Linked DNA regions of Drosophila melanogaster. The protein of the gene in region 1 purifies or fractionates together with the protein of each later gene. This does not show direct contact. Each region holds a gene or a part of one and is shown on either strand. Other genes may lie near its edges. The genes, in order: Ets98B and CG33981.

Region 1 (4,898 bases):
CGTCATTTCCCCATCGAACGCTCCTACACCCGCAGGGGCTGATTCAGCTGTTTGTCGCGGCCTTTGCGTGTCCTGCCACTTCAGCACGTTTCCCGGCCAATCCATCCAGCTGAGGCTGCCTGACGTGGATAATGCTGCCCCACCAGGAGCTGCCTCACCGTGGCTCTCGGCGGTTGCAGCTCACCATTAAGCACGCCGTTCCTTTGAGCCGGCTGTCCATCACGGAGCACCGCTGCCAGTGATGGGTGACCTGCCGCTCCGTACACAGGAATTAAAATCAGATACAAGAGCAGGGGGTGCTTTTAAAATAGTTCAAACTCTTTTCAGTCCATATTTTCTTTCATAGCTGATGTTAAAAGATAATAGCTAGCTAGGAACGCTTTGTTAAATATATATTTCTGCTGCATTAAGATTGCATTTCTTGAATGGTGTACTTTGTTTACAGGAGATTTTAAGTTCCATTTCCATTTATGGTCAAAGTGAATATATAAAAACATTTTCCGTGTAAGGAGCGGGAGTTTTCCAGAAGCCAAAGGCTGGTCGTTGTCCCCAGCTAAACGCGGAGGGGCCGGCATTTGGCATAATGATGGCCACCGGCGGGACTCGGGATGCCGTACTGAGCCGCCTCCTCCGCCGAGCAGCTGCGTCTGGTTTGCTGAGTGCCAATTGCTGTTGACATGCCTTTCATTTTAGGCGACAGCGCTTCCTGCTCAGCCAATTTAGCCCCGATGACCCACAATGGCGCATTTGTCAAGGTGGAATCATTTGGAGGGAGCCTGCAGGGGGGCGACATTAAATCCAGCACTCCTCGCTAATTTCTAACGTCCTTATTTTAATCCTTTCAGGCTGTGATTTGGACAAGAATAACATTTGTGGATCGAGTACAATCGCATGCTTAGCTTGTTAATCAAAACTCGAATGCCCTTTTATTTATTGCCGTAGTCTGAAAAAAACGCTATTATTATAAATCAAAAGATTCGTCATTTCATTATTTATTTCAATTTCTAATGTGTCGATAGCATACATTTTATGGGACTAAAACGAAATTTGCATTTAAATTAATTTGGCTTGGTAAAAAAATTTATTATGGTTAAAGGGTCCAAATGACAGGTTGAAATGAAAGTGATGCCAATTGTAAACAATTGCAAGCGATTTATTACATGTTTTGCTTTATGATTATTGATTATAAATAATTAATTGTGTAAGTAACTGATATGCATAGGTATATGAAAGTTGACTTTTGCAAAGGTACATGAACTGCAGGACTCTTTGAAAAAGGATTGAAGTTGGACTTCAGGCGACGTGGTCGTTCTTATGGGATGTCAAAAACTGTGAAATTGTCAATGGGCAATGAAATATAAATGCCAAATTAAATTGTATTTCGTCAGGACATTTCAGGAAATTTTCGTTGGCGACATCTTCGCGTCTTTTGCAACGGAAGCGGAAATTATAATGCCATCGACGTGCATCCAAACATTTTGACGTTTGTCTGAATGGCCCCAAAAACTCTTTTTAGGGGCGTGGCTGCGGGCCATTCAATCACGGTTGCAGTTGCAGTTGCCCCAGTTGCCTGCGTCACTTTATGCGAGCCAATAAATTTCAACTGGCTATCTAAGTATCTGGGTATGGGTATCTCGGTATCTGTACATTGATGGACCTTTGTTTGTCATCGATGTTGCGCTGATGGCTGAATGGCAAAGCTCTTGGCAAGAAAGAGGAGCTTAGCAACCAGTTTGGCGGCTCAAAAGCTCTGGGCATGAGGTAAGCAGAGCGATCGCAGCACGTACCGCTCACAGAATCGAGCGTGAAGACTTGGCGAACGGTCGACAAGCGGACCGAGCAATACATTCCAGTGCCAAACAGAGACAGCCAGAGAGACAGTGAAAGAGAAAGAGAGAGAGAGAGAGCAACAAGTTTGCCAGTGGAAATTTTAGTAACGAAATGCAGTGAATAGCCAGTGAATGCAACAAACTGGCTCAAAAGTCGAAAAAAAAAAAACAAAACAAACTCTCGAAAACAATTTAATAACCCCACTATGAACACCAAGGCCGAGGCAGTGAAACAAAACGCTGAGTGAATCTAGTTAAACATTTAAAATCAAAACCAAAACAGCAACAAGTGAAAGAGCCAGAAGGAGACGGCCACAGCGGTAGGCCGCGAGTGAGAACGAGACAGCGCACTGAATAGCAGCACCCGAGACTTTCGCATCTGACGATTCGAATTTTGCATGCCGAGAGATACAGCTACGCTAGAGCTGAAGCTGGAGCTACAGATACAGATACAGTAGCTAGAGCCTGTGAAAATATCTGCGAAATACCATAATTGTTTGTAGCGCAACTCAGAAATGGAGTACGAGAAAATGTTGTACATGCCAGCAGCCAGTGAGGTAAGACGCGATAATGTATCTCTGTATCCCTAGCTGCTTGAAAACATAGCTATAGCTATAGAACTACATACATAGCTGATAGCCGATAACCTTTCGCCCGCCATTATCATCGGGGGGCCACTTGTGTCGGAATATAGAGTATCTGTAGCTGTATCTGTCGCTTGGCAAATTATGCGCAGTTCGGTGGCAGTAAAGTTGCTTCTACGGCTTTTAATTAGCAGCGCATGGCATCTCGTGTAGGCGGCAAAAGTATCTTACGGTCTGCATCTTGCACTTGGCATCCCGCGAATGCGAATGCTGATGCGAATGCGTGTCACTGGGTGAGAGTAGCCCCAGTACCCAGTATACAGTACCCACTAAGTCAGCCAGTTACATTTTCGCATTTGTCTTTAATTACAATAACAGCAATAGCAATAGCAACAGCAATAGCAACAGCAACAGCAAAAGCGACAGCATCCAAAAGCAACTTTCAAAAGATGCTTTCATTTTGCAAGAAGTGATTCTAAATGATTGTCAACTATGGCACGACAACAAACAGTAGCACAAACGCCGAGTAAGAGCTGCCATGTCGGCCTGAACTGGCATTTCACTCGGAAAGTGCATTCCGATCCAGCAGATACTTTTTGTTGGACCTACTTAAGCTCCATTGGCTATGTACGCAAGTCTTTGACGTTTGTCGCTGCTGATGATGCTGCTGCCAGCATTGCAATAAAAGAAAATACGGAAAATGCCGTGGAAAAAAAAAACTTGTATTTACCATTTTTGATTGATTTGATGGAAATGTGTCTCCGCGCTTTTCCAATCGCTGACGCTGACACAGAAGCAAGTGGCTTGGAACAGCGCTTAGAAATGCACTGCAAGATTGCAAGATTGCCAGTCTGCCAGCAGCGGCAGCCACACTCATCTCTCATTATATTTATAGACATAATAAAATAAATACTACTGGCAACAATTATAAATGCAAGCCGCTTTCGCAGCTCAGCCACACTAAGCCGCGTCGAGACAAGACGAGTTGAGGAAAACTCGACATGACATAAATACTTCAACTTGTCAGGTTTTCTTTCCCTCAGCGCCAGGCCTTTCCATCGAGAATCCATCCATCGACAGTGGCATTTCTAAGTTCGCTCAGTCAAGGGCCATTTCCAAGCTATCCAATCCTATTCCATCCTGTCCAGAACGACTGGTTATCAATCAAACCGATTATACAATAATAATCACTTTTTGGGTGTGGCTCCCAACTTGGCCATTGTTGTGGCATATGCACTCAACGAAATTAGCTTTCCACGTTCCGAATGAAAATTCTATCAGCATTTCAGCTCTCTCATTTCACTCGTTTGTAACCGCGTCCTTTGAGACCCCGACAAATGGTAATTGTTCTTCTGCATTTTTGCATATTTTTTTTTTTGCAGTGTATTACTAAAATATTGCAGCCTGTGGTTGCGAGTCTTGTCTTGCGGCTTCAGCATTGAATCTCGCCTGGCTTTTATGCAAATTGAAATGAGTTGGCTTCGCAACGTCTTTTATACGGAATAATTGTCAGTGCGTGCAGCGCATAATGAGTGCAGAAGGGATTGGATTCGCAGGGTTTAGTGCCTAGACATAAGCGCATTCCTGCCCAGAATGTGGGTGTGGGATGGGCCAAGAGTCCAGTCTCCCAGCCTGCACTGGATGGCTCGTAAGTGCCACTTGTGCGGTGGGTGTGGGTGAGCCAGTGGGCGAGCGAGTGGGAGTGTGTCTGGATTGTCCATCAGAAGAGTGTCCAAGTAGTAATCGGGCGGGTTAATGTGCGGCATACTGAGAGGTAGAGATCTTCAGACCTGCCATCGAAGTGGGAGCTTTAATTAATTTGGTTAGCTGGTTAGTTGCTGGCTTTCCCAGGCCAGGGGACAAGACGACAAGCCGGAACATTCTGGGTCGTTACAGTTGTCAGACACTTGGCATATTAAGCAGGCTGCAAAGAATGCAGCATAATTGAAATGTTGCACCCATTTGAGATATTTATTAACCTTGCTGGCAGCCATTTATCTAGCATGAAATGTCGACAATTAAATGCAATGCAAATAGCGAAGAATGGCAAGCTGCAAGCAGAAAAGTTTTGCCCCGTCACGAAGTGGCTAAAACCAACACCAAACTGCAAACACTCACACAGACACGGTGACAAAAAGCTAGAGATACAGGGACAAAGATACAGAATAATGAGTGAAACAAACAGAAGGCAGCCAGTCGGGCGATGTAAAAATAAGCAGAAATAAGTCTTGTCTCTTTGACAGCTTAACCCACGCATCCGAGAACTGGTAGATGGTATATATGGTATATGGTAGATTGTACGTGGATGGATACCGCCGGGGGATTTGCCAGAGTATCTCTGTCTCTGTATCCATGTGTGTATGAGTGTGCCTATGCTGTGGACAGCGCACTTCAACATGGCCATAACCCCCTTGGCCCATCACCCATGGCTATATGCTATATGCTATATGGTATATCCGATCCCGAAGCGCGCGAATAAAGTGAA
Region 2 (5,000 bases), on another chromosome or scaffold:
TTTTGTGTGAATAGAAAATAGAAAATAGAAAAAAAAAAATTAAGTTAGCTGCATTTTTAAGTTACCTGCATCGAGGCATTGTGCAAAGTACTCGAGGCAGCTAAGCGAATTATTCTGTATACACATATGTACGATGTAGGCACACAAAACTTGTTAAGTGCTTTTCAAAACAACAAGCCTTTCATTGATAAAAGCCATTGGATAACAAGCGAGTAATAGACGAGCATTTGTGACCAGTGAGAATGTTTCGGTGAATTGTGAACCAAAACGGTTGGGGTTTCGTCCATGTCGGATCGATCGTATATCAACTCCGTTGGTAAATTGGCAAGATGTCGGCATAGCTGACGTTGAAAAGCGATTTTGAAGAGCGCTATGCTGCATCTAGTCAGTTGTTCAATGGAACAGTCAGCGAGATCGAACAGAACAGTAGTGGAGTTTTAAGCTCCATCGTAATCTCTTTTTTTTGCAGATATATAATCATAAAATATCTGAAGGGATATTAAAACATTTATCGATTGGAATATTCGCAAAATGTGGAACAGTTTTTGCATTTTAAAAAACCGTTTTTCGAATGTTATAAGCAAAAGCAGTAAATTTACGAAGTATTTTTATTTAATAAATATCTTTTAATACAGTATAATTCGCTTAGCTGCCTCGAGTACTTTGCACAATGCCTCGATGCAGGTAACTTAAAAATGCAGCTAACTTAATTTTTTTTTTTTAAGGAAAAATAAAGAATTTATTTCTTTATAACAATGTTAAACATAAAAGGAACTGATAATTTCATTCTTAATGATAAGTAAGATCGACATATAAATTTAAGTGATGGTGAATTGATTAAAACACTTTTTAAAACTAACTTAAAAATAGTCAGTAATTTTTTTTTGCAATACAGCTGAGTTTATATGTAAATTAAACAGCTTGTCTTCCATAGAATTCAAGTTTTGCAAAAACTCATCATTATTGTTTCGCATAAAAATGGACTTTAAAGCCTTAATTGCTGCAAACCCATCCTTAAAAGTAGGACGCTCAGTATCGTCCACATCTTCATCACTATGGCTTTCTTCGTTATCGCTGGTTTTTGCATCTTGAACTAAAGAGCGCACGATTTCATCATCATCTAATTGACCATGGCAAGCCTCATCTGCATCAACATTGGCATATTCATTCCAATTAATATTCGATACAATGTCAACTTCTACGCATTGTTTGTCTTTTTCAGCAATGGTGTCTCCTTTTCTTTGACGCTTTCTTTTTAAACCTGACGCGGCCACAGCTTCATGAATTTCATTTGTTTTTTGTAAAATGCGGTTGACTGTGGATCTGTCGCATTTGAATTTGGCACAAATTTCCTTTTTGTCCACTTTGTTGGTCACTAACTCGATTATTTGAAGCTTTTCCTTTAGTGTTAGTCCAACGACACGCTTTGTTTTACCCATTTTAATAACTTTGTGTCATAAGAAACAAAAACACAAAAATCACGATCAAAGCAAAAACAAAAACGGACATGCGCAGATACTGAAACGAGTTGGCATTCTTGCCATCTTTTAGATATGCAAAAATGATTCATAGATGGCGCAGCTAACTTTGATGATATTCATTGAAATTGGCAAAAAAAAACAGCTGATATGATGCACTTAAGTTAAAAAGGCTGTTATCTGCGATGCAGCAAACGTATGAATTTTCGTACAAATTTTCTATTCACACAAAAAAATGGAAAAATAATGCAGATATCTTGCCGATGCAGCTAACTATCGATGCAGCTAAGCGAATTATACTGTAGTAATCATTTTAGTTTTTTGCAGATGTGATTCTAAATTTGAAATAGTTATCTCCATATAATATTTATGAGATATAAAAAGAATAAATATTATGTGCTGCGAAGTAGAGGCGTACGCAATCTTGTTTTTCAGACATGATCTGGAATAAAGGAGGGAAAACTCTTCTAAAAATTTTGGAATATAACAATTTGGAAAAATGGAACCATTTTTATATGTCTTCCCGATTCCACGGACAATTGAATTTAAATAAACATAGGCACTCATTATTGCTGCTTATATAAGTAGCATACCACAGAAAATACAATTATCTCACCATTAAGCTAATTGCCAAAAATAAAGTATCTGTTAGTACATATTTGTTGTTTTCATATTTTGTTGTCGTTTAAGCAATTTATTTGCATAAAACAGCAAACAAATTCAAAAAGTGCGAACATCGAGTACACATCGATTGGCACTTTCGATTACTACTATCGCCGCCATTAATCGCATACCTCCCATCTCCACACAGCTGTTTTGTTAAACAAAACAGAATTATTCGCCAATTGTTTACAAAAACACTCAAAAAGAGTCTAAGCAAACAATTGGCAAGCAAGTGAAGACTGGCTAGTCTCAGATTAAATTATTCCATAAGTGATGGACAGCCAGGTAAGTGGGCAAATCGAGCGGGACGTACCCTTGCGGCTAGTTGATGTCCGGTGGTTAGATAGTAACTACTACTACGTCGCCTGTGAGTGTGGCAAAATTATCGCTTCACAGCAATTAGTCGTACTTATCAATGCGCCCATTGTGCTAAATCTAAATATGCGAGCAATACCGTGTCTCCAATATTTAAGCACTGTCGCAGAGTGACGTAATTACGCTGCGGGGGCGTTGTCTTTTCTCTCTTTTTCAACGAGATAATAACCTGTGTTTTATTGCCTGTCGCAGGCACCGATCGATGATCTACTGCTGGACATTGTAGACAATGCTTGGCGCATGGAAGTTCTACCCTTCGACCAGATTCTAGTGCCACGCGAAAAGCTACCCGATCCAGAGGCGGACGGCGGTGATTCACACCTGACGGTCAGCGAGCAGGTGAGTACATTTGGGATTTTATTGCCATATCTGTATACTTCTATGGTCTGAACTCGAACAGGAGCAAAAGTGGACTGATCTGGCGTTGGGCTCGCTGGCACCGGACGCAGCCCTCATCGATCAACTGAACATCACCTCTATCTAACCAAGGACCGTGAGTCCACGGGCGAGTGCCACCGCCTCGCCAACCAACCTATTAGCACCACAAGCCCAACTCCTAACACCCCGACAACATGACTAGCAACAACCAAAACAATAGCTCAAGCCACCAGCACCTACACTCCCCCTCCAAACTAACCGAATTTGCCCGCAATTTCGAAGACAAGCCGGAATCGCTCTTTGGCCGAGTGGTAAACAAGATCCAGAATGTATACAACCAGAGCTACAATACCGTCAACGATATATCAAGTGGGAGCAGCAGCAGTTCCTCCACGCAGCCAGTGCAAGTGGTGGGCAAATCACAGTTCTTCAGTGACTCCCAGACTTCCACCGCTGAGATTGCCGATGTGGAAACCTCTAGCCAGAGCTCAGTTCGCCCCCAGCCACCCACCACGCTCAGCATAAGGACCAATAGTGAGACACGTGGCACAAGCACCTCCAGCAATACCGCTGCAGAGGACTCCGAAACCAGCGACCGCGTCGAAACGCTGCCGCTGCCAACCAGCGAAGCGAATCAGGGGCGCACCGTTTCTAACGTCCTCAAACACATAAGCAATATTGTGGCCACAAAAAACAATAACGTGAGTGAAAGTCATAATACCATTATCGTTTTAAAAATTTGAATGATTCACTGGAACTTTACCACAATAAAATATTTCTGTTGACTCATTTTTTTTAGCTTTATAAGACAAATTCCTACATTTCATTTCAGGATCTGCGAAACTACAAGGACACGGAGCTGCAGCGCTTTTGGATGCCCGATTCCAAGGCTAAGGAATGCTATGATTGCTCTCAAAAGTTCTCCACCTTCCGGAGGAAACACCACTGTCGATTGTGTGGCCAAATATTCTGCTCAAAGTGCTGCAACCAAGTGGTGCCTGGCATGATAATTCGCTGCGATGGCGATCTCAAAGTGTGCAACTACTGCTCCAAGATAGTGCTCACATTCCTGAAGTCCTCAAGCTCTGAGATGGGACAGGATATGCAGGAGCTGCAGCAGCACTTAAGTAACAAACTGGAAGTACAAGATAGTGGCAGCTCGCTTGCAAAACATCCCCAGATGCAAAGGGCACCCCTTCCGCGTAAGACATCAGTGGGCTATCAAGAGGAGCGATTCAGTTCGCATCCAACTTACACAACCCTTTCCATCGACGATCGCAAGAATATCCTGCAGCAGTCAAATTCATTAATTACCCTGCACGAGGAAATGCAGCGTGATCTGCCTGCTCAAAATTGTGGTCAGCGTCTGATTGAGTTTCTCAATAGTAATAATAAATCAGCAAACGAGGTGCAGGCGGTGGCCATACTGAATGCTATGCTAGCCGCTGGTTTCCTCGAGCCAATCGTACCCGATCCCGAGCAAATGGACTTCGATTCGTCGCTACACTATAAGTTCTCCAAAAGCAGCAGTTCGGATACCTCCCGAACGATGAGTCCGCAATTTGAGGCGAATCCCCATGCGGAACCACAACCTCCAAAGTCAATGGATCAATCAGCTGAAGAAAAGGAGAAGGAGCTAGAAAATGAACTGGAAAACGATCGATGCTATACCACAGCAACTTCTAAGCTTCTTGCCTCCTATTGCGAACACGAAGAGCAGCTACTGGCACAGATGTTGCGCGCACATAATTTGGACCAGGAATGGGACAAGGTGCTTCAGATGCTTTGTTCCACGGCAGCGAATCACTTCAAGCCAGAGCATTGTAGTAACGATCTCATGGACATACGTAACTATGTAAACTTTAAAAAGGTGCCGGGTGGCAGACGCAAGGACTCGAAGATTGTTCATGGAGTGGCATTCTCTAAAAATGTCGCCCATAAAGATATGGCAACTCATGTGCCCTTTCCTCGCATACTGCTGCTGCAGTGTCCCATTGTGTACGAGCGTATTGAGGGAAAGTTTGTGACCATTGAGACCGTGCTGCTCCAGGAAAAGGAATACCTTCGAAACGTTTGCGCCCGCATTATGAGCTTCAAGCCCAACGT

Evidence for each region.
Region 2: the proteins of Ets98B (region 1) and CG33981 purify together in Drosophila melanogaster (affinity purification with mass spectrometry, with the first as the bait; one large-scale study listed by BioGRID). This does not show direct contact.

The regions. Positions count from the first base shown.
Region 1 is NT_033777.3:27,734,748-27,739,645, forward strand, and holds the start of Ets98B (Ets at 98B), read left to right. Parts: upstream 1-1,790; 5' UTR 1,791-2,344; coding exon 2,345-2,386; intron 2,387-4,898. UniProt on the Drosophila melanogaster protein: May have a role in germline development.
Region 2 is NT_033778.4:17,779,196-17,784,195, reverse strand, and holds the start of CG33981 (uncharacterized protein), read left to right. Parts: upstream 1-2,265; 5' UTR 2,266-2,414; coding exon 2,415-2,426; intron 2,427-2,708; coding exon 2,709-2,855; intron 2,856-2,916; coding exon 2,917-3,000; coding exon of another isoform or gene 3,001-3,595; intron 3,596-3,726; coding exon of another isoform or gene 3,727-5,000. Other genes in the region: fab1 kinase, read left to right, coding at 3,089-3,595, 3,727-5,000.